6 linked regions of the Callithrix jacchus genome follow. The protein of the gene in region 2 interacts with the protein of the main gene of each other region in a pairwise test. Links are inferred from orthologs where the notes say so. Each region holds a gene or a part of one and is shown on either strand. Other genes may lie near its edges. The genes, in order: PRKAA1, PNMA5, CSTPP1, ZMYND19, CCNC and RAD23B.

What was found.
Region 1: the proteins of PNMA5 (region 2) and PRKAA1 interact in binary tests that used the Homo sapiens proteins (3 or more experiments, as listed by UniProt). The two-hybrid records come from large-scale screens. The link is inferred for Callithrix jacchus from reciprocal best matches to the Homo sapiens genes PNMA5 and PRKAA1.
Region 3: the proteins of PNMA5 (region 2) and CSTPP1 interact in binary tests that used the Homo sapiens proteins (3 or more experiments, as listed by UniProt). The two-hybrid records come from large-scale screens. The link is inferred for Callithrix jacchus from reciprocal best matches to the Homo sapiens genes PNMA5 and CSTPP1.
Region 4: the proteins of PNMA5 (region 2) and ZMYND19 interact in binary tests that used the Homo sapiens proteins (3 or more experiments, as listed by UniProt). The two-hybrid records come from large-scale screens. The link is inferred for Callithrix jacchus from reciprocal best matches to the Homo sapiens genes PNMA5 and ZMYND19.
Region 5: the proteins of PNMA5 (region 2) and CCNC interact in binary tests that used the Homo sapiens proteins (3 or more experiments, as listed by UniProt). The two-hybrid records come from large-scale screens. The link is inferred for Callithrix jacchus from reciprocal best matches to the Homo sapiens genes PNMA5 and CCNC.
Region 6: the proteins of PNMA5 (region 2) and RAD23B interact in binary tests that used the Homo sapiens proteins (3 or more experiments, as listed by UniProt). The two-hybrid records come from large-scale screens. The link is inferred for Callithrix jacchus from reciprocal best matches to the Homo sapiens genes PNMA5 and RAD23B.

Annotation. Positions count from the first base shown.
Region 1 is NC_133503.1:164,812,742-164,817,156, forward strand, and holds part of PRKAA1 (5'-AMP-activated protein kinase catalytic subunit alpha-1), read left to right. Parts: coding exon 1-442; intron 443-553; coding exon 554-680; intron 681-2,479; coding exon 2,480-2,724; 3' UTR 2,725-4,415. UniProt on the Homo sapiens protein: Catalytic subunit of AMP-activated protein kinase (AMPK), an energy sensor protein kinase that plays a key role in regulating cellular energy metabolism.
Region 2 is NC_133524.1:149,110,535-149,115,582, reverse strand, and holds the start of PNMA5 (paraneoplastic antigen-like protein 5), read left to right. Parts: upstream 1-1,618; 5' UTR 1,619-1,702; intron 1,703-3,459; 5' UTR 3,460-3,587; intron 3,588-4,030; exon of another isoform or gene 4,031-4,174; intron 4,175-4,271; 5' UTR 4,272-4,333; intron 4,334-4,526; 5' UTR 4,527-4,631; coding exon 4,632-5,048.
Region 3 is NC_133511.1:111,993,444-111,998,318, forward strand, and holds the start of CSTPP1 (centriolar satellite-associated tubulin polyglutamylase complex regulator 1), read left to right. Parts: upstream 1-1,770; 5' UTR 1,771-1,855; coding exon 1,856-1,901; intron 1,902-4,875. UniProt on the Homo sapiens protein: Regulator of the tubulin polyglutamylase complex (TPGC) that controls cytoskeletal organization, nuclear shape, and cilium disassembly by balancing microtubule and actin assembly.
Region 4 is NC_133502.1:185,938,697-185,943,616, reverse strand, and holds the start of ZMYND19 (zinc finger MYND domain-containing protein 19), read left to right. Parts: upstream 1-1,722; 5' UTR 1,723-1,982; coding exon 1,983-2,033; intron 2,034-2,199; exon of another isoform or gene 2,200-2,562; intron 2,563-3,521; coding exon 3,522-3,581; intron 3,582-4,013; coding exon 4,014-4,136; intron 4,137-4,350; coding exon 4,351-4,457; intron 4,458-4,920. UniProt on the Homo sapiens protein: May be involved as a regulatory molecule in GPR24/MCH-R1 signaling.
Region 5 is NC_133505.1:105,582,944-105,587,358, reverse strand, and holds part of CCNC (cyclin-C), read left to right. Parts: intron 1-1,003; coding exon 1,004-1,059; intron 1,060-1,870; coding exon 1,871-1,906; intron 1,907-2,590; coding exon 2,591-2,682; intron 2,683-3,315; coding exon 3,316-3,383; intron 3,384-4,415. UniProt on the Homo sapiens protein: Component of the Mediator complex, a coactivator involved in regulated gene transcription of nearly all RNA polymerase II-dependent genes.
Region 6 is NC_133502.1:155,688,436-155,692,850, forward strand, and holds part of RAD23B (UV excision repair protein RAD23 homolog B), read left to right. Parts: intron 1-2,846; coding exon 2,847-2,982; intron 2,983-4,415. UniProt on the Homo sapiens protein: Multiubiquitin chain receptor involved in modulation of proteasomal degradation. Binds to polyubiquitin chains.

The sequences.
Region 1 (4,415 bases), on a different chromosome or scaffold from region 2:
TGAGGATCCATCATATAGTTCAACCATGATTGATGATGAAGCCTTAAAAGAAGTATGTGAAAAGTTTGAATGCTCAGAAGAGGAAGTTCTCAGCTGTCTTTATAACAGAAATCACCAGGACCCTTTGGCAGTTGCTTACCATCTCATAATAGATAACAGGAGAATAATGAATGAAGCCAAAGATTTCTATTTGGCGACAAGCCCACCTGATTCTTTTCTTGATGATCACCACCTGACTCGTCCCCATCCTGAAAGAGTACCATTCTTGGTTGCTGAAACGCCAAGGGCACGCCATACCCTTGATGAATTAAATCCACAGAAATCCAAACACCAAGGTGTAAGGAAAGCAAAATGGCATTTAGGAATTAGAAGTCAAAGTCGACCAAATGATATTATGGCAGAAGTCTGTAGAGCAATTAAACAATTGGATTATGAATGGAAGGTAAGAAAGAAGTAACATTTTGATTATTAGCATATTTGGCAAACCCGTATTCTATAAAATATTTTATAGAAGAACTACTTTTGACTTTGATTTTGTTATACCATGTGCTAGGTTGTAAACCCCTATTATTTGCGTGTACGAAGGAAGAATCCTGTGACAAGCACTTACTCCAAAATGAGTCTACAGTTATACCAAGTGGACAGTAGAACTTACCTACTGGATTTCCGTAGTATTGATGGTATGTACATCACACAAACAATGTACATTAGACCTTGTTACTAACTTGGTATTTTATTCTTTGATTCTTTTGAAGCTTCTTGACTTGTTCCTAGTAATTCAGTTGCAAAGGAATAGAAAATGTGACTTCTTGTGCCTTTGCAGTATTAACATTTATGAGTCTTATTATTTTTGTAATCTTAATAGAATGCTGTCCTTTTAAGATTATCATCTTGTAAAATCCTTAAAGCTAGGTGCAGTCTGTTCGTAAGGTGATAGTTTTCTGCTGCATTTGTTTTTTTGGTGTGGTTCATTTTGGAAAGAGAAAATGTTTTATTTAGAAATAAATACTGACTTTCCCATGAGTTTTTATTATTAAGTAAGTTTTCAGCACTGGCCATTTCAATTGCATTGAGATACGGTGTTGAGCGTAGGTGTGGTGGCTCATGCCTATACAGTCCAGCACTTTGAGAGGCCGAGGTGGGAGGATCGCTTGACTCCAGGAATTTGAGACCAGCCTTAGCAACACAGTAAGACTCTGTCTCTACAAAATTTTTAAAAAATACAGTATCACCTTTGCTTATGGAAGGTTACATAGAATTATTAGATAAGGTTCACCTATGAATTTTTTTCTTCTTTATAAATTCAAAGATTGTAAACACATAGTAGCAGAAAGACACAGATTTGAGCCATGATATGTTGGCCAAACCGGTTTGTCTGGTTATCTTTATGTCTCTTATAGTATGGATCTGCTAACGTATACTAATACAGTCTGAAATATGGAATGGGTTTTATTTTTCTCATATGTGGATCAAATTTGCAACCTTAGATTTACTAGTCCTTCAGTATACCAATTGAATACCATTTTTGTTTTTGTATTGTGTTTCCAACTTTAGTTTTTCATTTTTGTTTTTGCATTGTGTTCTCAACCTTAGTTTTTCTTTGATTTTTATTCATTGGATTTGTTGCTTTTTTATGAAATGCTAAATGAAATATGAAGGGAAAGTGGAAAGTAAAAAGCACTGAGCTGAGAGGAGAGTTGAGTTCTAGACTAACCTTTTTGTTCATTTGTTACCTTAGGTAAATCACTTCTCTGGGTTTTCTTATTAATAAAGTGAGGGGTTGGATGAGATGGTTTCCAGTATACCTTCTAAATTTTAAGTGCATTGATTCTATGATTTTAATATAGAAGGATTTTTTTTTTGCGATAGAATAATATTTATGAATCCTTAGATTGTTAGTTTGTTGAGTTTCTTAACCTTGGATTGCAACTGATGAGTAACTATACTGTGCCCTACCTTGATTAGCCATCTTGAGAATACATACTGTATGTAAAAAAGGTGAATGGTGTAATACAGGCTCATTGCCTCTATTTTAGAAGGTATTTAGAAAAAACATACTTTTTTTTTTTTTTTTTTGAGACGGAGTTTCGCTCTTGTTACCCAGGCTGGAGTGCAATGGTGCGATCTCGGCTCACCTCAACCTCCGCCTCCTGGGTTCAGGCAGTTCTCCTGCCTCAGCCTCCTGAGTAGCTGAGATTACAGGCATGCATCACCATGCCCAGCTAATTTTTTGTATTTTTAGTAGAGACGGGGTTTCACCATGTTGACCAGGATAGTCTCAATCTCTTGACCTCATGATCCACCTGCCTCGGCTTCCCAAAGTGCTGGGATTACAGGTGTGAGCCACCGTGCCCGGCCTAATAAACATACTCTTGATAGCTGGCCAGTAGCCCCACTTAACGAAGCAAATTCAATATTGTTACAAAAATTTTGGGCGTAAGGTCATAGAGTATAATAAATTGAAATTCTTTTTACCCAGATGAAATTACAGAAGCCAAATCAGGGACTGCTACTCCACAGAGATCGGGATCAGTTAGCAACTATCGATCTTGCCAAAGGAGTGATTCAGATGCTGAGGCTCAAGGAAAATCCTCAGAAGTTTCTCTTACCTCATCTGTGACCTCACTTGACTCTTCTCCTGTTGACCTAACTCCGAGACCTGGAAGTCATACAATAGAATTTTTTGAGATGTGTGCAAATCTAATTAAAATTCTTGCACAATAAACCTAAAACTTTGCTTATTTCTTTGGTAGCAATAAGCATGCGTAATAAGTTGTAGCCAAATGATTCCATTTGTAATCAAGTTATACATAATTATAACTGAGGACTGGCGTTTGGAATGCAATTTGCACAGGGATTGGAAAATGATTAATAGTTAAAAGCCTAATATGCAGAAATCAATTAAGATCATTTTGTTGTTCATTGTGCAGTATGTATATAGGATAATATATACGTCTCTCAGGCTCACTTGATTTTTGGCTATTTTATATTTAGTGTACACAGGGCTTTGAAATTATTAATTTACATAAAGCCTTCATATATTATTACATGTTATATATTTGCTTCATAAATTTATTCAATAAATATTTGCCTAGAATTCTCAGAGACCTTTATAGGTGATTTTGTTTTCTGGGCTCTTTAACTACTTAAATAGCTGGTATCTTCCAGCATTAGTAACAATCTGGATAACTTCTTCCATATTCCCCCTCCTTTTTTTTTGAGATGGAGTCTCACTCTTGTCACCCAGGCTGGAGTGCAATGGCATGGTCTCGGCTCACTGCAACCTCCACCTCCTGGATTCAAGTGATTCTCCCGCCTCAGCCTCCTGAGTAGCTGGGACTACAGGCGTGTGCCACCACACCTGGCTAATTTTTTGTATTTTTGGTAGAGAGGGTGTTTTACTGTGTTGGCCAGGCTGATCTCAAACTCCTGGCCTTGTGATCTACCCATTCAGCCGCCCAAAGTGCTGGGATTATAGGTGCAAGCCACTGCACCCAGCCTCCATATCCCCTTTTAAAATTCCTAGTGTATGCTAAGTCATTATCAGATATCAAACCTAATTTAAATTTTATTTTAGCTTTACAAGTCCAGAAACAGAATTTATATATTCAGATACTGTAGCACTAATTTTAATCTTAAAATTTTCCCACTGTATTCTGTACACAAAATGTTCTTTTTGTTACAAGAGCTGAGTTGCACATACTGTAAATAAATAAATTAGTTTTGCCAGTTTCTTAAATTCCTCTGGCTCATCATGTCAGTCAGTATTGGGTATATGCTAACATTGCTAGTTATTTGATTATGTATCTTTGAAATTGATTCAGTGCATAGCAAGACTATCTCTTAAAATCTTTAAGTGCTTGGCTATGACTCCCCCCCCCCCCAAATTTATTATGAACATTTTTAAAAACAGAAAAATTGAAAAACTGTAGGGTAAGCGCACATGTATGTCTACCGTTAAGATTCAGCAGTTGTTAATGTTTTGTTATTTTATTCTCTATACCTACATATGTATAAAGATACAACTAGTTATGCATATATATGCATATATGTATGTGTGTATGTATATATGTCCCCCGAACCATTTGGATGTTACAGACATACTTATCACCATGAAAATACTTCAAGCATCTCCTAAAGATAATGATATTCTCCTAAAAATACCATAATACTACTGTGAAATTAATAATTCTCCAATATCATCTAATCAAGCCATATTTAAATGTCTGAAGTTATCCCCCAAAGTTCTTTATAGCTGATTATTTCAAACCAGGATCCAATTAAAGTTTACATATGACATTTGGTTATAACTCTTTAGTTGGGTATAACATTATTTTGATAAAATGTGGAGCAAATCAATTCTATTGATAAACGGTCACATTTGTTTTGGACTTCAATTACTTTTTAAAATATAA
Region 2 (5,048 bases):
ATTAAAACATTACCCAAGAAAGCTTGCTCTTTTTTTAATCACTAATAAAGAAACACACATATATTCTCTCACCACAGGTCCATAACTTCTGGCCCTGAAGCGTAATCATAGCCTTCAGACCATTGCTACACACAGCCTGGGCAGGGGTAGGCAGCAAGTCACCCGGCTTTCAGCAGAATCAGTCCTGCACTAGGCCTCCTCACTGAGAACTTGCATTTTTTAAAGATTGCCAGGGTATTTGTGTGCATCTTGAAGTAGGCCGTGAAATCAGGAGAATAATGGGAGAATAGAGTATTTTCAGTCATCTGGCTCTAAGTAAGCAGAAAAAAAAAATTATGGCCTTGTGAAATGCAGGCCGTAGCTGTATTTTTTACCTTCCTACCCCAGAACGCAGTCCAATAAAAAATACACAGGTGCTATGAGTTTCAGGTAGTAAGTAGGCTCACACCCCCTATTCATTATACGTGGCCTATATGCTGCACCCAGTGATGTGAACCAGGTCCTTCAGACACTGCTTGGGACACCACAGCTCCCCTCCAGTGGAAAAGAACCACAATGGCTGCTGGGACACATGGTAAATGAAGAGCCTGGGTGCCACCGTCGTCTAGCTAGTAAACTACAGGCGTGGGAGGTAGTCTGCAATGGAAGTGGCACCCAGTTGTTTTTATTGTCTGTTCTAAAAGGTGCGGGCTGGCACAGGCTCGCACGGGTGGTAGTGGGGTGGTGAGGACCCGTCGCATGGGAAGTAGGAGGGTTTGTGTCATAGGTGAGGAACTGTGAGTGGGCTGTGTGGAGTTACAGTGGGGGAGGGGGCGGTCATCACCCGATAGCCTCTTCCCGCGTCAGGTTGAAAAGGGGTGTGTGACTTTCAGGTAGTACACACGCTCACTTGGCCTATTTGTTACACATGGCTTATATGTTGTACTCGGTGATTTGCACCTGGCCCTTCACACACGGCTTGGTACGGCATAGCTCCCCTCCCACGGGAAAGAAACAGAATGACTGCTGGGTGACGTGGCAAGTGGGGAGAATAGCTGCCGCCATCGTCCAGTCAGTAAACTATAGACTTCCGAGCTAGTATGCAATGGAAGTAGTTCCCAACTGTTTGTATTGTATTTCCTCAAAGGTGAAGGTTGGCGCAGGCCGGCACAGTCTGGCAAGGGTTGGGGTGGGGTAAGGAATTCTTGATAGGGAAGTAGGAAGGTTTATGTGGCCACTGCACAAATGTGAAAGAGCCGTGTGAAGTTTTGCTAGGGTGGGGGTCATCACCCAAAAACCTCTTCCCGCCACAGCCTTTAACAGGATCTGTGATGTTGAGGTAGTACGTGTAGTCATGTGGCCTATTGGGTACATGTGGCGTGTATGAAGAGACTGGTGCTACCGTTGTCCAGCCAGTAAAGTACAGGCATCTAGTCTGTAATGGAAATGGCTGCCAGCTGTTTGTATTGTATGTTCTCAAAAGTGCGGGCTCGAACTGGTGGGGTGGGGGTGAGGAGTTGCTTGGCGCGGGAAATAGAATGCTTTATGTCACTAGTGCGCAACTGTGAGTGGGCCGTGTGCACTTCCGCTGGGCGGGGAGGCGTTACCAGACAACCTCTTCCTGTCATAGCCTGGAGGCGCATTCGGCACAGAGGCGGCAGCCGCCTTAGACGTGTGGTGGTCGCGCTGCGCGATCACTCCAGCTTACAGGCCTTTCTGACAGGTACGGAGCTGGGCCTGGTCATACAAAGCAACCTAGATTAGGGGGTATATCGCCAATAACTTGCTATTTTCCACAGGGCCTAGGAGTTGCTATCCATAGTTTTCCAGGCAGAACTTCTGGGAGACCTTAGGCTGGGCAGGCCGAGACGGGTGTATCACTTTAGGTGAGGAGGTATAGCCTACCCAAGATGGTGAAACTCCGTCTCTACTAAAAATACCAAAATTAGCCGGGCATAGTGTTGGGGACCTGTAATTCCATTTATTCAGGACAGTGACGCAGGAGAATAGGTTGAACCCTGGAGGCGGAGGTTATGCTGAGCCGAAATCATGCCTGCTGCACTCCAGCGTGGACAGCAAAGGGAGACTATTCGTCTCAAAAAGAAACAAATTAAAAAATACTTTCTGGAGGCCTGTTCCACCCTCAACTCTTGACCCTTGTCCGTGCAGAAGAGCGGCTTCGGATCTTCTCTCCTAGATCCTGCCGCCTTCCACTGGTGCTGGTAGTTGGTTTATGTAGATAACAGGGTAGAGATGGAGGGAAACGGGAACGGACGTACTGGATTTCGGTACAGGGGGTTAGACTTGTATGGCGTAAGTAGTTGGGCTTCGTGAGTGGTCACTCATTGCGGTACGGATTTGACTCTGGGTGCGGGCAGGATTGAGTTACGACTTAGACATGGGTGGGGGCAGGGTTGAGGCACGAGTTCGACTGTGGGTGCCTGCAGGATTGAGGTAGGAGTTAGACATTGGGGCACGGATGATGCACGACTTTGACTGCGTGTGGGGGCAGGGTTGAGGTAGGAGTTAGACATGGGTGGGGGGAGGGTTGAGGCACGAGTTCGACTGTGCGTGGGGGCAGGGCTGAGAAAGGAGTTAGACATGTGTGGGGGAGGTTTGATGCACGAGTTCGACTGCCAGTGGGGGCAGAGTTGAGGCACGAGTTAGACGTCGGTGGGGGCAGGGTTGAGGCACGAGTTCGACTGTGGTTGGGGGCAGGGTTGAGGTAGGAGTTAGACATGTGTGGGGGAGGTTTGATGCACGAGTTCGACTGCGAGTGGGGGCAGGCTGGAGGCACGAGTTGTACGTCGGTGGGGGCAGGGTTGAGGCACGAGTTCCACTGTGGGTGGGGGCAGGGTTGAGGTAGGAGTTAGACATGGGTGGGGGGAGGGTTGAGGCACGAGTTCAACTGTGAGTGGGGGCAGGGTTGAGGTAACAGACGTGGGTGGGGGCAGGGTTGAAGCACGAGTTAGACGTGGGTGGGGAAATGGGTTGGATTTCGTGCTGGTTGGGATTGCGGTAGAGGTGGATCTTAGGTGTACGCACGTGGACCTTGGCAACGTGTGGTGGTTATGGTGAGGTAGCTAAGCGATGCAACATGGCTGCAATGCCGTAGCTTCCGATCAACATGGCTGCAGGGGCGGAGCTTCGGACAACATGGCTGCAGGGGCGGAGCTTTGGAGCGAGTAGAGTTTGCAGTGGGGGTGGGACAACAACCTTATCCTACGATCCCTTCTGTCCTATCAGCAGCCCCCACCAGCCCCCACCCTCCACCTCCCTCACCATTCCTTCCCATACTCCCTCTTTCCGCACCCCTCCCCCTTCCTCCCTCCTCCTCCCTCTGCCAGTTGAGCAGTTTCTTCTGTGGCTGCGCCAGAGTACTACTGGACACCTTTGCAGAATCACAACTGCCGTGGCCTGAGCAGAGACGTGTGTGTGGGACACAATCACAACAAAATACCTCTGCTTTGCCTTGGACAGATCCAGAGAAGCAAGACCCGTCACTGCTAACTCAGTAGCTGCCTAACTGGACAGAGCTGAAGAGCGCAGCAAGTGTGAAGTGGCTGTTATTGCAGCTTCCACGCTGCTAGCAGAGCCAGCCCAGCAAGGTGAGCAGCTGTGAGGTGGGCTCTGGTGGGAGGGACTCTGGAACCTTGGCAAAGAGTGAGGAGACAGGACTCACTGCAGGGTTCGCAAACTCTGCAGGATAGGGCCATCGCTAGGGCAAGAGTTGTTCGTTTCCTGCAGTCTGGCAGTAGGGACCTTATCTGCGTCCCTTTTCTGCCCGATTTCACCTTCCACACAATTTAAACCATGAACTCCTGTCCTTCTTTGAGCACTCACTCCTCATGCCTACCTCCCCTTTCCTCACCTACCCTCCTTGTTGCTAGGATGCTGTATTGGATGAAGACCGATGACATCACCTGTTGCTTCTCAAGGGCCTTAGCCTCACCACATGACACTACCATACAATAGCAACCCATGGTCCATGGTATGCTCTGTATCCATGGCAACACTGCAGTTTCTCACACAATCTCCACACCCACCACTCATTTCATTGCGCAGAGCTCCGGCCATCTTTCTCCTCTGTCAGGCATTTCCTGAGAAACACGGCCACTCCACCTCTCCTGCAGCCAGCCTTCACTTCCATTCCAGCAAGGAGGGTGCCAGGTGACCTGAGCCCACATAGCCCTGAGTGAGCAGTGGGGCAGTCTCCTGACTTTTGCCTGGAGGGCTTGTCAGTGTCCTCAGGTGTCAGGCCCTGCCTCCTGACGTTGGCCTTTTCACTACAGGCACCTGCAGCACACCCGGCTGAGTCCTCTGGACATCGAGGAGGAACCCACAGCAGGAGGAGGTCAGCAGGGAGTGTGGTGAGGTGGGGGGATCTTTGCCTGGGGAGACCCACCACACTCTGTTCTCCACACAATGACTTGAGCCTTGGGTAGCAGGGACTCCATCCCTGCTGGGGGTGGGGGCAGAGGGAGGGGCACTTGGGAGTATACGTTGGGGTGGGCATTAGCAATGCTCTTATCCCATTTGCTTTGCAGGCTGTGGAAACCTGTGACACTCCTGCCTTCCTACGTGGCAGTGGCTCAGAATCCTTTGAGTGCTGTCAAACCGAGCTGATTGTCGGTCCTTAGAAAGTGGGAGTAATGGCGGCAACACTGCTAGAGGATTGGTGCAAGGGGATGGACATGGATCCCAGAAAGGCCCTGCTGATCGTGGGCATCCCCGTGGACTGTAGTGAGGCGGAAATTACAGACACTGTGAAGGCAGGCTTGCAGCCCCTGTGCGCGTACAGGGTGGTGGGGAGAATGTTCAGGAGGGAAGACAATGCTAAGGCAGTCTTCATTGAATTGGCTGACACTGTCGATTATACTACTCTGCCTAGTGAGATACCGGGAAGGGGGGGCTCCTGGGAGGTGGTGGTAAAGCCCCGTAACCCAGATGACGAGTTTCTCAGTAGACTGAACTACTTCCTGAAAGATGAGGGCCGGAGAATGATAGATGTGGCCAGAGCCCTGGGATGTGGTGGCTTCCCTGCCGAGAGCCTGGAGGCAGAGGTCCTG
Region 3 (4,875 bases), on a different chromosome or scaffold from region 2:
AAGCAGAGAAGAAGGCAATTTAAAAATAAATCAGATTCGCTGGACTTCACACCAAATACCAAATTAGTAAATTCATTGCTCAAGACACTAAGCTCTGCTCCTAGTTTGGCTCTGTCCTTTTATCCTCACCACATCCAAACTTAGAGTGACTCACAGGAGCCTAGAATTGAGACACATATACAATTTTAAGGGAAAGCAAGAATTAGGAGGTTTGAGGCTCCTTGCTGGAGGAGGCTAAGAATAGGCCACTCAGGACACAAAGGGAAGAACCTCCTCTTTCCTTTTCCTCCCAGTGTAGGTGGTCTACTGGTTTCCCAGTCATTCCTTTGATAGCTTGATTTTGTTTTCTTTGTCTCTTTTTCACAAACCTCACCTTGTTGGAGGGGGAGGGAACTAAAAAAGTGAGGACACAGTGGCTTTTTCTGCTAGGTCTGAACTGTGTCAAGTGCTACAGATCTCTTACCTGTTGTCAGGAACGGAGAGGGGCAAAAAGAAATATTTGGGAACTTGAAAACCATTGACTATTCCCTTAAAGGAGAAGTGAGCAATTGGGCATATGGGGGGAAAAAATCTAATTTGTATCCTTGTTTCTGCAGCCCCTCCCACTCAAGTGAAATGTCTTGGTAAGAAAAAGGAAAGACACTTGGGAAGGGTACCAAATAGTAAGGGGTAGGAATAGAAAGAAGAGGCCGGGTGCAGTGGCTCACGCCTGTCATCCCAGCACTTCAGGAGGCCGAAGCGGGTGGTTCACAAGGTCAGGAGATCCAGACCATCCTGGATGACACGGGGAAACCGTCTCTACTAAAAAGTCGGGCGTGGTGGCATGCGCCTGTAGTCTCAGCTACTTGGGAGGCTGAGGCAGGAGAATTGCTTGCACCCGGGAGGCAGAGGTTGCAGTGAGCTGAGATCGCTCCACTGCACTCCAGCCTTGGTGACAGAGTGAGGCTCCCTCTCAAAAAAATAAACATAAAATAGAAGAACCAAAGATAAAAAGGAATTGAGGCCGGGCACGGTGGCTTACGCCTATAATCCCAGCAGCTTGGGAGGCCGAGGCAGGCAGATCACCTGAGGTCAGGAATTCGAGACCAGCCTGGCCCACATCGCGGAACCCCGTCTCTACTAAAAATACAAAAAATTAGTCGGGTGTAGTGGCGGGTGCCTGTGCTCCCAGCTACTCGGGAGGCTGAGGCAGGAGAATCACTTAAACCCTGGAGGCAGAGGTTGCCACGAGCCGAGATCAAGCCGCTGCACTCCAGCCTGGGCGACAGAGCCAGAACGGAGAAGAAATGGCAATGATCTCAGAGGACTTAATGAGTACCTTTTGTGTATCCAGCAGTCATAGGCATAAAAGACACACTCCTGACCTCTAGAAGCAGCTAGGGTATATGCATACGTAAGCACTTTGCAGCAATTTAAGATAGTAAATATCAAAGAGCTAGAAATAGGTAACGGGTTACTAAGTGTTTATGAGGGCCAAAGGGTGGGGGCTATTAATGAGTTAGGATAACTGTATAAAAGCAGGGATAGTTATGAAATTCAGTAACTCCGTGTATGGGCGGCAGACAGTAATTCTTCGACATCGGGAAACAACGGATTCAAAAGAATTCTGCATCTCCGATTCCTCTAAAACCAAGTCTTCAAGAATGGGAGTCCAAAGAAACCTGGACCGTCGTGAAGCGACTGCCCTCGGAACTTGAGTGGCCAGCTCCACTTTGCTACACGGAGACTGTTTGTGTGACACCTCCTCCGGGTCCCGCCCCCTCCCACCGCGTGGGTGCCATGGTAACGGAGAGAGAAGGCAACCTGAGTTCCGGAAGCCGGAGAGCTGGAGCTTTGAAGCTACCCGGGTCAAAGGATGCTGAGTCCCGAGCGCCTAGCCCTGCCGGACTATGAGTATCTGGGTAGGTGCCCCCTTCAACTTTGGGGAAAAAAAAGATGTGCAGACGAATTAGGCCGGGGTCTGGGAGGAGGCGGGGGCGGGGGCGGGGTTTGTGTGGGATCGGGTCCGGGTGGAATGGGGAGGGGCGGAGAGGCGGGGGTTCCAGGGCCTGAGCCCCTAAGGCCGAGCCGGGAGGAAAAAAGCACCTGGGGAGTAAAGAATGTTTGAAGTGTAGGGGCTGGAACTCAGGCAATGTGGATTGTGTTCAACTTGGGTCAGGTTGGAGTTAAGGATTTGGGGCTCTGTTGGGGTATTACTGATATGCTGGTAGTGGAGTAAGAATAACCTTGGAAATTCAAGTGCCAAATCAGTCATTCCTCAATAACTGTCTTACCGTTACAGCGGCAGCAAACATTTCCAGCTTTTCTTTTTCATTAGGCACTGTGCTAAGCATTTTACATGCATTATTCTTTATTTGAACTTCTCAACAGCCCTAGGAGAAATTACTGTGTTTTCTTCCAGTTTTGCAGGTGGAGAAACTGGGGCTGAAGAGGTATCTTGGCATAGGTTAGGCCACACAGCTAGAAAATGGTAGCACTAGGATCAGAACTGGATTTGCCCACTCCAGAACTTGAGACCTTGACTTAGCTCTTGAGCTGAGACTGTATGTGTAGTACTTTGTTGAGCATCTTTAGTGTATAAGGAATTTAATGAATGAAAAAGGCATACGCCCACATAGATATGCACACACACATAAATGCACACAATACACATTTTAAATAATTCATAGACTTTTTTTTTAAGGGAAGTTTTAAGTTTACAGAAAATTGACTAGATAGTACAGTGAGTTCCCATACACCTTGGGCCTCCCTCATTCACAGTTTCCTCTATTATTATTATTATTATTATTATTATTTGAAACAGCCACATTCTGTCACCAGGCAGGAGTGCAGTGGCGCAATCTCTGCTCACTGAAACCTCTGCCTTAAGCAGTCCTCCTGCTTCAGTCTCCCGAGTAGCTGGGACTGCAGGTAAGTGCCACCACGCCCAGCTAGTTTTTTGTATTTTTAGTAGAGGCGGGGTTTCACTATGTTGGCCAGGATGGTCTTGATCTCTTGACCTTGTGATCCACCTGCCTCAGCCTCCCAAATTGCTAGGATTACAGGTGTGAGCCAGTATGCCTGGCCAGATTCCCTTATTATTATTTTATTTATTTATTTTTGTGTGTGTGTTTTGGGATTTTTAAATTTATTTATATTTTTTATTGCATTTTAGGTTTTGGGGTACATGTGGAGAACATGCAAGATTGTTGCATAGGTACACACATGGCAGCGTGATTGATTGCCTTCCTCCCCTTCACCTATATCTGGCATTTCTCCCCATGCTATCTCTCCCCAGCTCCCCACCCCACACTGTCCCTTGCCTATTTCCCCCCAACAGACCCCAGTGTGTGATGCTCCCCTCCCTGTGTCCATGTGTTCTCATTATATTACTGCAGTACATTTGTTACACTGGATAAAATAACTAAAGTCCATAGTTTACATTAGGGTTAATTCTTTATGTTTTTCAGTTCTGTGTCTTTTGACAAATGCATAACATCATGTATTCACCATTCCATTGTCATACAGAATAGTTTCACTGCGCTAAAAAAACCTCTGTGCTCCACCTATTGATCCTTCTCCCTCCCCTGCAGTCCTTGACAACCACTGATCTTATTGTCTCTAAAGTTTTGCCTTTTCCAGAATACCATGTAGTTGGAGTCATACATAGTGTGTAAATTTTTTCAGATGGGCTTCTTTAACTTAGCAGTAAGCATTTAAGTTTCCTTCATGTCTTTCTGTGGCATGATAGTTTCTTTCTTTTTGTTGCTGAATAATACTCCATTGTCTGGAATGTACTATGCACATCTTTTTTTTCTTCTTTTTTTTTGAGACAGTGTCTTGCACTGTCACTGAGGCTGGAGTGCAGTGGCACAGTCACAGCTCACTGCAGCCTCAACCTCTGGACTCAAGTGATCCTCCTACCTCAGCCTCCCAAGTAGCTGGGACTGCAGGCACATGCCACCATCCTGGTTAATTTTTTTATTTTTTGTAGAGACAGAGTCTCACTATGTTGTCCAGGCTGGTCTCGAACTCCAGAGCTCAAGGAAGCCTCCTATTGTGGCCTTCCAAAGTGCTGGGATTACAGGTGTGAGTCACTGCACCTGGCTTACATCTTTTTAAATGAAAAACAATTCTGGTTTAAATTTTTTTTTTAAACTTATTTTAAAAATGAATTTAAAAATATTTTTTAAGGTGGGTAATATGGAAACTTGATTCAAAATATTTTTTAGGCCTGGCATGGTGACTCCTGCCTGTAATCCCAATACTTTGGGAGGCTAAAGTAGGAGGATAGCTTGAGGCCAGGAGTTCAAGACCAGCCTGGGTGACAGAGTGAGACCCTGTCTCTAAGATGGATGGATGGATGGATGGATGGATGGATGGATAGATAGATGTTTATAGTGAAAAGTCTCCTACCCCTTTGCCTCCATCTGCCCAGTTGCCATCCATCCTCAGCCCCCTAAAAGTAACCACTATTGTTTTCCTGTGTGTCTTTCCAGAGATTATTATATACATAAAGGAGCATGCAGCATACACCTTTTTCATTTAATACATTTCAAAGCAATTTCTTTTCTTTTTTTTTCCTAAGATGAAGGAGTCTCACTCTGTTGCCCAGGCTAGAGTACAGTGGCACCATCTCGGCATACTACAACCTCCACTTCCCAGGTTCAAGCCGTCTCCCACTTCAGCCTCTCAAGTAGCTGGAACTGCAGGCACAAGCCACCACACCTAGTTAAGTTTTTTATTTTTGGTGGAGATGGGGTTTCTCCATGTTGTCCAAGCTGCTCTTGAACTTCCTGAGCTCAAGCCTCCCACCTTGGCTTCCCACAGTGCTGGGATTACAGCCTGGCCTTGAAGTAATTTCTCAGTCAGTAGGTAGCTTCTTCATTCTTTATA
Region 4 (4,920 bases), on a different chromosome or scaffold from region 2:
TCCTGGGATGTCTCCCCGGAGTAGCTGGGATTACAGGCATGCGCCACCACGGCAGCTACTTTTTTATTTATTCATTTTTTTTGAGACAGAGCCTCTCTCTGTCACCCAGGCTGAAGTGCCGTGGCTCGATCTTGGCTCACAGCAACCTCTGCCTCCCGGGTTCAAGTGATTCTCCTGCTTCAGCCTCCCAAGTAGCTGAGATTACAGGCGCACTCCACCACACCTGGCTAATTTTTGTATTTTTAGTAGAGATGGGGTTTTTCCATGTTGGTCAGGCTGGTCTCAAACTCCCGACTTCTGAGATTATAGGTATGAACTACTGGGCTTGGGGACACCAGTGCTTTTCAACTACCCTAGGGAGGACTCATCAAGCTCGTCTGTGTGGCCCCACGTCTTTTCACAAAGCAGTTGCTCATAACCTCATCACACCCTGGGAACTCTATAAAGTAGGACAGGTATGTTTTGAGCTAGGCTTCGCCTGAACCCGGATGTGTGTCTCAGGCAGCCCCTTCTCTTCTCTAGGGTGCCTGGGGGTACTGGCAAGTACCAGGGGACCTAGAGGTGGAACGTCTGGGCTGATTCATGAAAACCTTTTGCAGGCTGGGCATGGTGGCTCACGCCTGTAATACCAGCACTTTGGGAGGCCGAGGCCGGAGGATCAGCTGAGGTCGGGAGTTCAAGACCAGCCTGACCAACACTGCAAAACCCTGTCTCTACTAAAAATACAAAAATTAGCCAGACGTGGTGGTGCATGCCTGGAATCCCAGCTACTTGAGAAGCTGAAGCAGGAGAATCTCTTGAACTCGGGAGGCAGAGGTTGCATTGAGCGGAGATTGTGCCACTGCCCTCCAGCCTGGGTGACAGAGCAAGATTCTGTTTCAAAAGAAAAAAAAAAAAAGTCGGGGGGTTAGAAGACAGAAGCCAGCAAGCCAGAAAGAGGCCTGTGCAGCTCCTCAGGTGCCGGAGTCGCCCCTGAAGCAGGGTGAGGGCTGCCGGCGGCGACTGGACACCGCGGAGCAGGACGCAGCATCCGGCCCCGTTCGCTCCAGGCTGCAGGGCAGGCCACGCTGCCCACCACTGCGCTCCCGGCCTCCCTGAGCGGGTCTCGGCTTTCCCCGGAGCCTAACGGGCCTCACTGGAGTCTGGGACCACCACGGCCTCTGGAGTTCCGTTTCCTGACGCCTTAGACCAGGCTGCTCCGGCGGCCAGCCGCCCTCCGGGTCGCGTGGGCCAGGGGTCCGCGGTATCTCCAGGCACTCCCGCGTCCCGAGGCAGCAGCCTCTTCCTGGCCCGCCTCGCCCGCTCCCCTCCCGCTCAGCGGGCCCCGCACGCGCTCCGTCCGCCTCCTCCTTCCGCAGTCGGGGCCAGGACGGTGGCGGGAAACAGCATACGGGGGCGACGGCGAGGGAGGCGAAGGGCGGCCGGCTCGCAGAGCTCCACGGGCCCGGCGCGAGTCCCGGGCCGCGGCGCGCATGGCCCCTCCGGGCGCGGCGCCGCCACCCGCACAAAGCTTCCCGCGAAACTGACGTCGGCGCGCGCAGGCACCGCCCCCGGCCTCGCCCCTCCCCCGCGCTCGCCTCGCTCCTCAGCGCGCCGGCGCCCTCTCCCTCCTCCCATTGGTTGTTACAGAGCGGCGCGCGCCGACCGGCGCCGTGCGCGCCTCCCGATTGGTAGAGCGGCGGCGGGCCGGGGGGTGTGTCCCGGGCCGCGCCCCGCCCCTCCGCTCCGCTCGCGGTGGTGCGCGCGGTGGCGGCGGCGGTAGCGGCGACGGCGCGTGGCAGGTCCGGCGGGCGCGAGGCGGCGGCGGCGGCGGCGGCGGCGGCCCGAGCCCGGCCCAGCCTCGTCCCGCCCGGGGCCCGCCTGGCTGCGACCCCGACCCCGGCTGCGGTCCTGTCCTGCCCCGGCGCGCCGCGGCCTCGCCCGGCCCCCGCCCGGCGCCTCCCGAGGGAGCGGCGCTGCCGGCCAAGAGCGCAGGCCCGGCCATGACCGACTTCAAATTGGGCATCGTGCGGCTCGGCCGGGTGGCCGGAAAGGTGAGCGGCGCGGAGTGCGCGGCCCGGCCCGGCCCATCTTGCCCGTCCTGGCCTCCGCGCGGAGCCGGGGGCGGTTGTGCGGGCGGCGGCCGGGGCGGGGGCGCGGAGCCCGGGATGAGCCCCGGCGGGGTGGGGGGCGCTGCGCGGGCCCGACTGCCGGCCCCGCGCGGGTGCAGCTTCCTCCCGCAAGGCCGGTGGGCACGCACCTCGGCTCCGGGGCGCACCTGGCCGCCCTCGGCCCTGCCCTGCCGCAGGTGGAAGCCACGGCCCTGTCTCGAGCCAGGTGCGGAGATGCCTGACTTGAGCCCGGCCGGTGTTCATCCGGAGCCCTCCCCGTGGTGCCGGCGAGCCGGGGCCTAGTGCGGTGTCCGGGCTGCTGGAGCGGCCACACGGTTTAAACACAGCGCCCTTTCGAGGCAGCGCCACCTCCACACCTCTCGCCGAGGCGGGTCTGGTGTGGGCTCTTCCGTGCCTCCCAGTTCGCAGCAGGGCTTCGGGCTCGTTTTAACGCTGCCAGGCCTTGGCCAAGGTAGGCTGAGCCTCAGGCTTAGAGCAGAGAGGCAGGAGCCTGGGTCCTGATGCTGCAGACTCAGGGCCTTCCCCTACTTCTCCGTACCGGTCCTCACGTTTCACGATTGGGGCCGGGGCTTCCATGCCACCTGTAGGCACTGAGGCTTGGCGGTTTCTGGAGCCACCTGTGCAGCTGCACCAGCCAGGTTCTTGCCTGGATAGGAGCCCTGTTCCCATCACCAGTGGCTGCAGCTTTTCTGGTGGGAGAGAGGAGTGGAGGCAGTGGCAGGCGGCGTCAGGTCAAACAGGTTCAGATCCCAGAAAAAAAAAAAACGTCGAGAGAGAGACTGGTCGGTTCCTGGAGCTGTTTCTGTTTCCTGCCCCTGCTCCAAGAGCATAGGTAGGGCCTACTGTGGAGGAGGCTTTCCCACCGGGGAAGGGTGGGCTCCCCAGTCAGGTCGAAGACCCGAGACCCCTTCCAACTCTGCCACTGATGGCATTGTTATCCCTTATAGCTTTTCTTTGGAACATTTTGGGTGGACAGAAAGCTAAAAAGGGGAATTCAGTGAGTACTTCAGCTTAATAAACACACCCTAATCAAAACCTGGCTTTTCTGCCTCCGTCCAGGCCCCTCCCTCAGCCCAGTGAGTTCGCCTCTGCCTAAGTGTATCGGTGCGTTAAATGTTGGGTGCCACTGTTGGGTTAGGCCTGCGAGGATGGGGCCTGATACCGGCTCCTCTGGCACAGACTAAAGTGGGCAGCTGGCTTGTCACCGGTCTGCCTGCGTTTTTGCACAGGCTGCACGACCCCAAACTGCAGAATGAGACCCCCACGTGCTGAGCTGCCTTCCTCTGAAGAGGCCTGTGGTTACTTCCTACTTCACAAGAAAATGCAGCAGGCTCCTGCCTGTTATGGGTTATAAGGCTGCTGCACTTCAGGATCCCAAATGTAATGGTTTGAAACGTGGTTACTTTCCAGACCAAATACACGCTGATCGATGAGCAGGACATCCCGCTGGTGGAGAGCTACTCCTTTGAGGTGAGTGAGGATGGCTGTTCCCTCCCCTGATGCTTGTGGTCAGTGCTCAGGAGAGTCATGAGGAGCTCTGTCCCCTGTGCTGCAAGAGCAGGCGGCCCCACAAGTGGATATCTGGTGCCAACCTGTGAGCCCTGAGCCCTCAGCTGCCACATCCAGCGGTGGGCCTGCAGACCCTGGCTGTCGCTGCCACCAGAGCCCTTGCAGCCTGATGACACGGCCTTCCCTCACTTTCACCCTGTCTGCCAGCCCTTCTTGAAAGCAAATAGTGTGTTCTCACGTTTGTAATCCTGTCACGTGGGCCGTGTCTGTTAGCTTGGATGACCCTGCTCCTTACAGCTGGCCACCTATGCTTGGCCTGCCCTAGCAGCCCCTCCAGGTTGCCCAGCTGCCTCCCGTTCTCTGCTCTCATGGGGTCTTCCTGCCTCTTCCCAGCTTCCGTTCCTGCCACTGAGCTCGGCCTCCCTCACCACGCTTTATCTCTGCGCCCCACACATTCGCAGTCGTGACTTGTCAAGGGGTATCTCCATCTTACTGCACTGTGGGCTTTTTTTAAGGGTAGGAAAATGTATTGAATAGAAGCATGGTGGGGGGACACACTGGGCCTGGGGCCATGTGCCTGTGGGAAGCGCCACACTCCCCAGGGTCTCAGGGACAGGGCTGGCATTTGTCCCTCAGGCTTGCCTGTTTCACGTGGGTTTTCTAAGAGGGATTTGAGGTGTTGCTGAGAATTGGAGCCTTTTTAATAGCTCTTTTCCTTGTTCCTTCTCAGGCCCGAATGGAAGTAGATGCTGACGGAAATGGCGCTAAGATATTTGCCTATGCCTTTGACAAGAACCGAGGAAGGGGCTCTGGGAGACTCCTTCATGAGCTGCTGTGGTGGGTGTTTCAAAGCTGCCTCTGCCCCCTGCCACAGGGCTCCTGGGTGAGCTCTGATGGCACAGGGTGCCTGGAGCCCCCTGCCCCGCCGAGGCCCTGCCTTGCCTTCCCTGAATTTCGCATTTATTTTTGTGTCCTTTGTCACTAACCTAGAGGAACGAATGATTTGTATATTGCACTTCAGACACCAAGTGGACTTTCTGCTGGGCGCTTGCCCAGGACCGGTGGCTTCTGGAGGGAGAGTGGGGTTGCTCCCCTTGCTGGGTCTTCACTGAGCCCCCCAGTGTGCATGGTAGGGGCCACTCAGATGGGAGCTGTCTTGAGTCCGTCTGCTCAGGTGGTTTTGGGTTCCAGCCTTAACTCTGCTCCTAAGTCCAGGGGCCAGGTCCTCTCTGTGTCCCTGTCCTGTTTGGGCCACAGACCAGGTGCTTGGATTCCTCTTGGCAGTTTCTGTCTGAAGCAC
Region 5 (4,415 bases), on a different chromosome or scaffold from region 2:
CCGGGTTCAAGCAATTCTCCTGCCTCAGCCTCCCGAGTAGGCGTGCTACAGACTTGTGCCACTATGCCCTGCTAATTTTTATATTTTTACTAGAGATGGGGTTTCACCATGTTGGCCAGGCTGGTCTCAAACTTCTAACTTCAGGTGATCCACCTGCCTTGGTGTCTCAAAGTGCTAATTATAGGCAAGAGGCACCATACCCGGCCAGAGATGGAATTTCTTTTAATCTCAGTGAGATCAATTGGGTTTTGTACAAATGGAAGCTGACACCAAACAGATCTTTTAGAACCTGTCAATAGTTACTTTGTTGAATTAAGTGTATTATAATGGCATGAATACAATTTTCTCAAATAGTACTTATATCTATATGCTCACACCATTTTAAGGAGATGGGGGATGGATGGTTAACATTGTTTTTTCACTTGTACTTTATTTAGTGACTAATAAAGTAATAGATAATAGAGTAGTAACTTTATGTGTGTGTGGCATTAAAGAAAACTCTAGAGACCTTTGCACATATATTAATGCTTTTATTAAAATATATATTTTAATAAATACCTGGTCATTGTAAAAAGTTTAGAAAATGGTGTACTATCCTCCCAATATTTTATATGTATATTTTTGATCAATTGTATATATTGTAAACACATACATAACCCCTGCGTTCCTTCTAAGCTCAGTCACTGGAAAACAGGAGAATACCATTCTGTAGTTGAAAAGATTTTAGAAATGATAAAAGTGATTTTTTTTTCTGATCTTTTTCTTTTTTAAACATCAGAACCCTTTCTTAAAGTAGTAAATATAAAATTAAAGCTGTCTTGGATGTCCTACCACCCAGTCTTTCCCCTTCCCTGAAATCAAAAATCTGGGTCCCTAAGTATTGCCAAGAATTCCTACTGAAAATAATCTTGCTCAACTCTCTAATATTCTGCTCTGTTAAAAGAATTTTGAGTTAATTCATTTCCCATTTTTTCAGTTTAAATTGTTTTTTTATTTTCTGCAGTAAAAACTAGATTTTCATATGCCTTTCCAAAGGAATTTCCTTATAGGATGAATCATGTAAGTATAAAAATAAAACACTTATCAAAGCTTTATATAAACTAGCTCTATTTTATATTAGACTAAATTTAATAGTTTCCTAGAAATAGCAGTTTCAGATATTACATGAATACAGACATTATTCTAAATTAAAGCTAAATAGCTTTTACCATTAAAAAAAATACTTCATAGTAGTGATTATCAACCCTGTCTGCTCATTAAATCACCTTGGGAGCTTGTATATAATATTTATGTTGGATTTTCCAGAACAACTAAATTAGAACTTTGAGGCTTGGTGCTCCCAATATTGGTACTATGTAAAAGCACCCAGGTGATAATACTATTCAGCTGGGATTAAAAACTACTTTAATGGAACAGTATGAAATATAAGGGGAATTTCTATAGACATTTTAATAGGCATGTCCTTCTTTTTCCACTTTGCAAGGGATTTGTTTATTCTCTTTAAGCTACATTGTTTTAAGTAGAAATAATTGTATTTTGCATTTGCGTAGTAGAAAGTATACTGGAAAATCTGATGTTTTTACAGGATATTTTAAATAAAAGTGAGTAATAAGAATGCTTGTGAGAAGCTGGCTTTTCCTTAAAAGGATTAAAATTTCTATAATCATAATTTGATGTGTAATAGTAAAAAGTAATTTTTATTGCATATATTGATTTTCATGTAAATTGCATTTATTGTCTGGATTTTTAAAACTTTTTAGTAAAAATTTTTGATAAATTACTATAATGTCTATAATTTATATTAGATTAAGTAGACTTATCTAATTTGGTTTCAAGTTGACATTTCATTGATAGTCTTTTCTTTAAACAGATATTAGAATGTGAATTCTATCTGTTAGAACTAATGGTAAGTATATCTTCTGTGATTAATAGATTAAAACATTTTCAAATTTAATGAAGTTGGAAATTATTTAAAGAAATGATATTAGGGAGATACATTTTAAAGCCATCCACCTGATATGTGATAGTGAAATCATGGTAGCCTATTTATATTAGCGTCTGTATTCTCTCTGAAGCCTGTAAAATACTTTATATATCCTACTTAGGATGGGAAAACTTTTCTATTCTATATTAAGTAACTGTAATAAAAGTATTACAAACAGACAAGTCAGGACATTAAACCACTGTAAATTATGTGCACAATTTGTGTGTGCGTGCAGTGTTATTTAAAGATAGATTATGTCTTTGGCAGAATTCTGCTCCTCCAGTTGGGAATTATGGATTTATAGGCTAATAAGAGGTTTCAGTGTGTTGCAGATGTGACACTTTGAGTCTCTAAGGGAATGAATGGATGCTGACTGACTGCCAACCGATTTATCAAGGTATATTCCAGAGAGAGCACTGCCTTCACTATTATAGTAGAGTTTAGGGCTGTCATACTGCTTGCTTAAGCAAATAAAAGGGAAGCAAGCATGAGTTAATGAAATTCACTTTGAAATAATACAATTACAAATGAGTTGGGTAATGATATCATTTTTGTGTTGTAATAAATCTGTTTTTTATACATACACATTTTTTAAACTGTTTCTAGGATTGTTGCTTGATAGTGTATCATCCTTATAGACCTTTGCTCCAGTATGTGCAGGACATGGGCCAAGAAGACATGTTGCTTCCCCTTGCATGGTAATTAGAACAGAAGTTATTAATAGTGTAACATGTTGCTAGATAGGAAGGTTGACAACTAAATATGAAGTTCAGTATTTTTAAAGTCATTAAACTATTGCCCCAAGATATTTTGTGTTGAGCAAAATACCACTTTTTTAATTTTAATAACTGTAGTGGAGTAAATAACAAAATGAAAACCATCCTAAATTATCTGTTCTATAAATATACTTATTAAAATTTAATTTTATATGAAACAGACTGGTAACATAAAAATTAAGACTGAAGCTATCTTTAAAGTAATCAGAATACTTTTTGGTAGTATGTAACGTACATATACATTTACTGTTTAACTTCTGGTTTTTTAATTTGATTTTCTGATTTTTAAAAAATTAGAAAAATGTGTTTGTAATTTGTTATGAAATTTTGAAATTTAAAGTATATTTAGCTGTAATTTTATTCGTTGATATGTGTATTTGTTGTCACATTCATGTATCTATCCTTTTGCCTTGATGTTTTCACTTTTATAGCTGTGCTTCAGTAATATAAAAGGAAATAAATGTGTACAAAGATGGGAAATCTGGCCCTCTCTGGAGGAAATGTACAGATGAGGTAGATCTGCTTTCAGTAATAATATGATTTACATTTCTATAGGAGGATAGTGAATGATACCTACAGAACGGATCTTTGCCTACTGTATCCTCCTTTCATGATAGCTTTAGGTATGTAAGCATGGTGGGCCTTTATTAGTTAAATTGTTATAAACCTATTTAGGTCATCCTAAACTAAATTTCACCCTATTGTACTTTATGTTTTTATCTTCCATGAAGTAATAGACTAATCCTTGCATGTGAACTTTCAATAATATGAACTGCAACTGACACAAATCAGGATTATTGTTCCCCCACTCCCTTTTCTTTGGTTAAGTTTTTTGGTTTTTTTTTTTTTTTTTTGAAACCATTCAAAGTAGTTTTAATCAGTGTCTGAAAAGAATGTATTTGTTTGTTTACAGGGAAAAGTTCAGAATTAAGCCAGTATTAGTTGTAGCGTGTAAAATAATTGGGCCTTTCACCTCCTGAACCCAAACAAGTACTCAGAGGTTGAGTAAAGGAGCATTTGTGGTCCATAATGCCTGGCTAGAGACAGAAGTCAGCTACATCAGCTACATTCATTCTACTGTCTGTGGAAGGCAGTGCTGTAATGGGTGGAGTCAGATAGTTCTAGGCTTAAACTTTACTTCCTTTACAATTGTGGGAAAATTATCTGACCTTTCTGTGTTTGGGTCCTTAATTGTAAAATGGAGAGGATATTAATGCCATAGAGTCATTTGAAGAATTAAATGAGATAGTTTGTAGAGCACCAAATAATGCCTGCTATATATTGGGCACTTGTTAATTTCTTTTCTTTTCCTTTCCCTTCTATTGATTTTTTTTTTTTTTTTTTTTTTTTTTTGAGACGGAATCTCACTCTGTCTCCCAGGCTGCAGTACAGTGGTGTGATCTCGGCTCACTGCAACCTCCGCTCCCTTGGTTCAAGCAATTCTCCTGCCTCAGCCTCCTGAGTAGCTACAGGAGGATTACAGGTGTGCACCACCACACCTAGCTAATTTTTGTATTTTTAGTAGAGATGGGGTTTCGACATGTTGGCCAGACTGGTCTTGAACTCCTGACCTCAGGTGATCCACCTGCCTTGGCCTCTCAAAGTGCTGGGATTATAGGCATGAGCCACCGCACCCAGTCCCTTCTATTGATTTT
Region 6 (4,415 bases), on a different chromosome or scaffold from region 2:
CCAATATAATATCATGCATTTAATGAATGATGTTACTTACCTGGTTCCATTGGCATTTGAATTTGTTTTTATAGTCAGGAGTTGAGGGACTTTTTGAATAAGGTCATCTTTTTTTTACTGGTAATGAAAGTTTTTGAGAAATAGAGTATTGTGGACATTGACTGAAACCCTTGGTATGAAGATGAAAGTCTGCTATTTTTACAGATGTAACACAGGCTAAAGTGATTGAAATAACTTTTTTTTTTTTTTTTTTTTTTTTTAAGATGGAGTCTCACTCCGTCACCCAGGCTGGAGTGCAGTGGCGTGATCTCAGCTCACTGCAACCTCCACTTCCTGGGTTTAAACAATTCTCCTGCCTCAGCCTCCCAAGTAGCTGGGACCACGTGCCACCACGCCGGCTAATTTTTTTTATTTTTAGTAGAGACAGGGTTTCACCATGTTAACCAGAATACTTTCGATCTCCTGACCTTGTGATCTGCCCACCTCAGCCTCCCAAAGTGCTGGGATTACAGGCGTGAGCTGCTGTGCCCGGCCTGAATTAACTTTTTAAAAATCTTAGATTTTTATCTTATAATTGTTTTTGGTGTTTTGGAGTATTTTTTCTAAGTCTGAATTGCCCAAATATCATCTTAGAGTTGCATGAGTCTAACTCTTTTGGGAATTATGTCCACAGTTTAACGCATTCCTTTGTGTCTAGTTTATACTTCTGTTAGGAACTCCTTTCAGGTAGCTAGCTAGTTTCAGAAGAGTCCAATATAAGCCTCATAACTGTACTCTGCCTCCACCATTTATTGCCCATGCATTTGCTTGTGAAGTTCTCAAAACGGTTTCCTAGCATATTATTTTATCTTTTTCAATTCACTTTTTCATTGTCGTCTTGAGTAGTGTCTTTAAATGGTGGCAGTTTATCCAGTTTGTGTAGAATTAATAATTGTTGTGAATTTATTTGGCGAGGAGTACATAGCCTAAACAGATTGTATAAAAGTATTAGTTTTTTGGAGTGGCTTTCATTTACATCTGATTTTTAGAATTCTGCATAAGTTCAACAGTATCAGTTATTTTGATCTAATGGACATGGAGTTTTGAGGTATAAAATAAAGAAATCAATGTCACCAAAGTTGCCAAATGCTAAAACTGCTGTATAGCATCAAATGCAAATAAACAGATGAGACATGAGTTCATCAAACAATTTATAACAAATATTTTTTATATATTTGCTGTTTGTTTCATAGACGGGGGTGGGGAGCTGCCTTTAACTGTTAATAGTTAACAGGTAAATTGAATGGATGGAAGGAAGAAATGTTGATCCCTTATCTAATAAGAGGCGTTGTAATGTGTGAGAATAGAGGTAGATATATAGCAATGAAGATTAACTTTTTAGTTTAATAAATTAAACAGAATGTGATGGATGCTCTGGACCCTAAATTTATGTGTAGTTTGTTGCCACTTAAATAACTGCCCATTGAAGTTAAGGGTTTGAATTGGTGAACTCACTCAGAAACATTTGTTTTGATGCCTGGAGTGGCATCTAATGCATGCAGCCATATTCCTGCTCTTCCTCCTTTATATGTTGTTGCTTTTGGCTTCTGGCTTATTAGGAAATGGAAGCATTTATCATCTTACTCAATTTTAATACTTAGTTCTCCTCTTTTCAGAATCTATAAGAACGTGATAAAGACTTTTTAAAAATTTTAAATGACAAGTCTGTCAAATCATGTGCATCAAAATAGGGTGTCCTAAAAGATTTTAGTGCATGCAGTTTTAAGCTCCAACAACTTTAGAAGATAAATACTACACACTTGCAGGAGGATCTCCTCTACTGATCCATGGTACTGACAAACTGTCACTCAGAAGGTATATCATAAATTTGAGATACTTTTGAGTAAAGTGTTTCTTTGAGAAAGTGTCACTCAGAAAGTAACTGATAAAAAATTAATTTTTCGGCCGGGTGCAGTGGCTCACGCCTGTAATCCCAGCACTTTGGGAGGCCGAGGCGGGTGGATCACAAGGTCAAGAGATAGAGACCATCCTGGTCAACATGGTGAAACACCGTCTCTACTAAAGACACAAAAAATTAGCTGGGCATGGTGGCGCGTGCCTGTAATCCCAGCTACTCAGGAGGCTGAGGCAGGAGAATTGCCTGAACCCAGGAGGCAGAGGTTGCGGTGAGCTGAGATCGCGCCATTGCACTCCAGCCTGGGTAACGAGCGAAACTCCGTCTCAAAAAAAAAAATAATAATTAATTTTTCAAAAACCACAAAATTGATTTAAAATAAATTGAAACCATTTAGTTTTCAGAGGTGAAAAATATTTTTTCCCCAGGAGTCATTTTAGAACTGTCAAGACGCCCATCAAAACTTCTTTGTTTGGATTATCTTAAGCTAAGATTGTACACTCAATCCTTTTCATCACTAACAGCTGATGAAGATTTCTAAGAAGTTAAAAAGTCAACTGAAGTAATAATAAGTAGCACTAAAACCTTTGGTTATGTTCTGTTTTAAGAAGGTACATGTATAGATAGTTTTCGAACTAGAATAATTATCTGTGCCTGGTAGGCATCTAATTGGACAACAGAGACTATTTTTCCATCATCATGGAAAGTTCTGTTGGTCAGTACTGCTTTGCATTATTATAGCAATGTGGGTTTTTCTATAATGCAGCCAGGTCGTTTCTAATCTAATTTGAATCCATACAGGTTAATAATCCTTTACTTTTAATTGAAGCAGGCATCTGTTTGATGCTTTTGAAAATCAGATAACATGTTAAATAGACTATAAATCTTTTACTCTATATAATATTGAATTTTGCATGATGGGATATCTTAAAGCTTGGAAATTTTGTTTTAGGGAATCCCTGGAGATAGAGAAAATCAGGCTGTGGTTGACCCCCCTCAAGCAGCTAGTACTGGGGCGCCTCAGTCTTCAGCAGTGGCTGCAGCTGCAGCGACTACAACAGCAACGACTACAACAACAAGTTCTGGAGGTAAATTGGAATCTTTGGATGGAGAGGGAATGACCCTGAATTATTAGTGTAAGATAATTTAATCTGAAATGCTTCAGAAATGAGGTTCATTCCCAGAGCAGTTGTGTAACTAATGTTTGAGAAAGGCCCAAAAGAAACTCTCCCAAGTGGATATAAAAGGTATCCTTGCTGATATTAAACATCAGTGCTGCAATTTTGTCAAAGGGCATATTGTTGTATTTGTTCTAAGGAAGAGATGCTTTCCAGTTTGTATGTCTAATGGCATTCAGAAGGGTTTGCTCACTTTGTCTCTTACTCTCTCCGTAAATGTTACAAAGTGTATGTGATTTCAAAGCCAGCAGGATTTTAGCAGTTATACAGCCAAGGAAATGAAACCTTGAGAGGTTTAAAACCTTGTGTCTGGGAGGAGAAAGCAAAGCTAACATTCAAGTCAAATGTTAATAACCAAAGTCTTCCTTACTCGGGTACTGGCCATACCCACACATTGCTATGGGTCTGACTGTAGAGCAAAGCCTGGAGCCTGCTTAGTAATTATGTAGTGTTCTCCTTCATTTGTTCTTGTGTATATTAATAAAGTAAGCTGTTGATTTTGGAAAAAGCCATTCTTTCATCCATTTCTTAGCTCTGATTATGATAGTCACCTCTGGATGGCAAAAGTCACTAAGTGCTTTGTGTAGTCTCCAGAGGACAGGCCTGTTTGTTGAGATTCAGCATGGTAGTGGAAAGAGATGGCCACAGCTTTGCTTTGGATTTGGGGTCCTATTCCTTTCAGCACTTATTAGGTAACATAGTCTGTAAATCTCATTACCTTCCTCTATAAAGCTAGTATTATATAAGGAAGAACAAAAAACCCATATGATGTGACTATTTTAATTTGAATGATTGTCTTCCTGAATAGGAAATTACAACATACATCTAAAAATTCTCTTTTATTCATTAGTAACCTCAAAAACATACTTTCTTTATGTATAATTTTTGGTTTCCTGTAACAACCAGATAAGTACTGGCACCTTGAAAAAGCCACAAGTTCTGTATTTTATTTTATTTCTTATTTGGCATTATTAACATTTACTATTGTGAATGGATTTTAGACTGAAAAGCTCTAGATATATTAGTACTAGATTACCATACGGCTTATGTTTGAAATTTAATGGTAATAACCAAAGTCTTCCTTAATGTAACTAAGTTTGTATTAAGATTTCTCCTGCTTTGCAAACCTGACCTCAAACTTTAAATATTAAATATCTTTCTCTTCTTTGGTTTAGCATTTCCTAGGAATTCAAGCTCAGATTGTGTTCTTTAAGGGGGTTTGATTGTTTATAAAGTAAGTGAGTTTTTGTTTTTGTTAGTTGTGGCATATATTTTTCTTAAGAACTTTTAAGCAACGGGACCAACTTTTAGTACTTTTCATTTTGATAGAACATGTGCAGGGG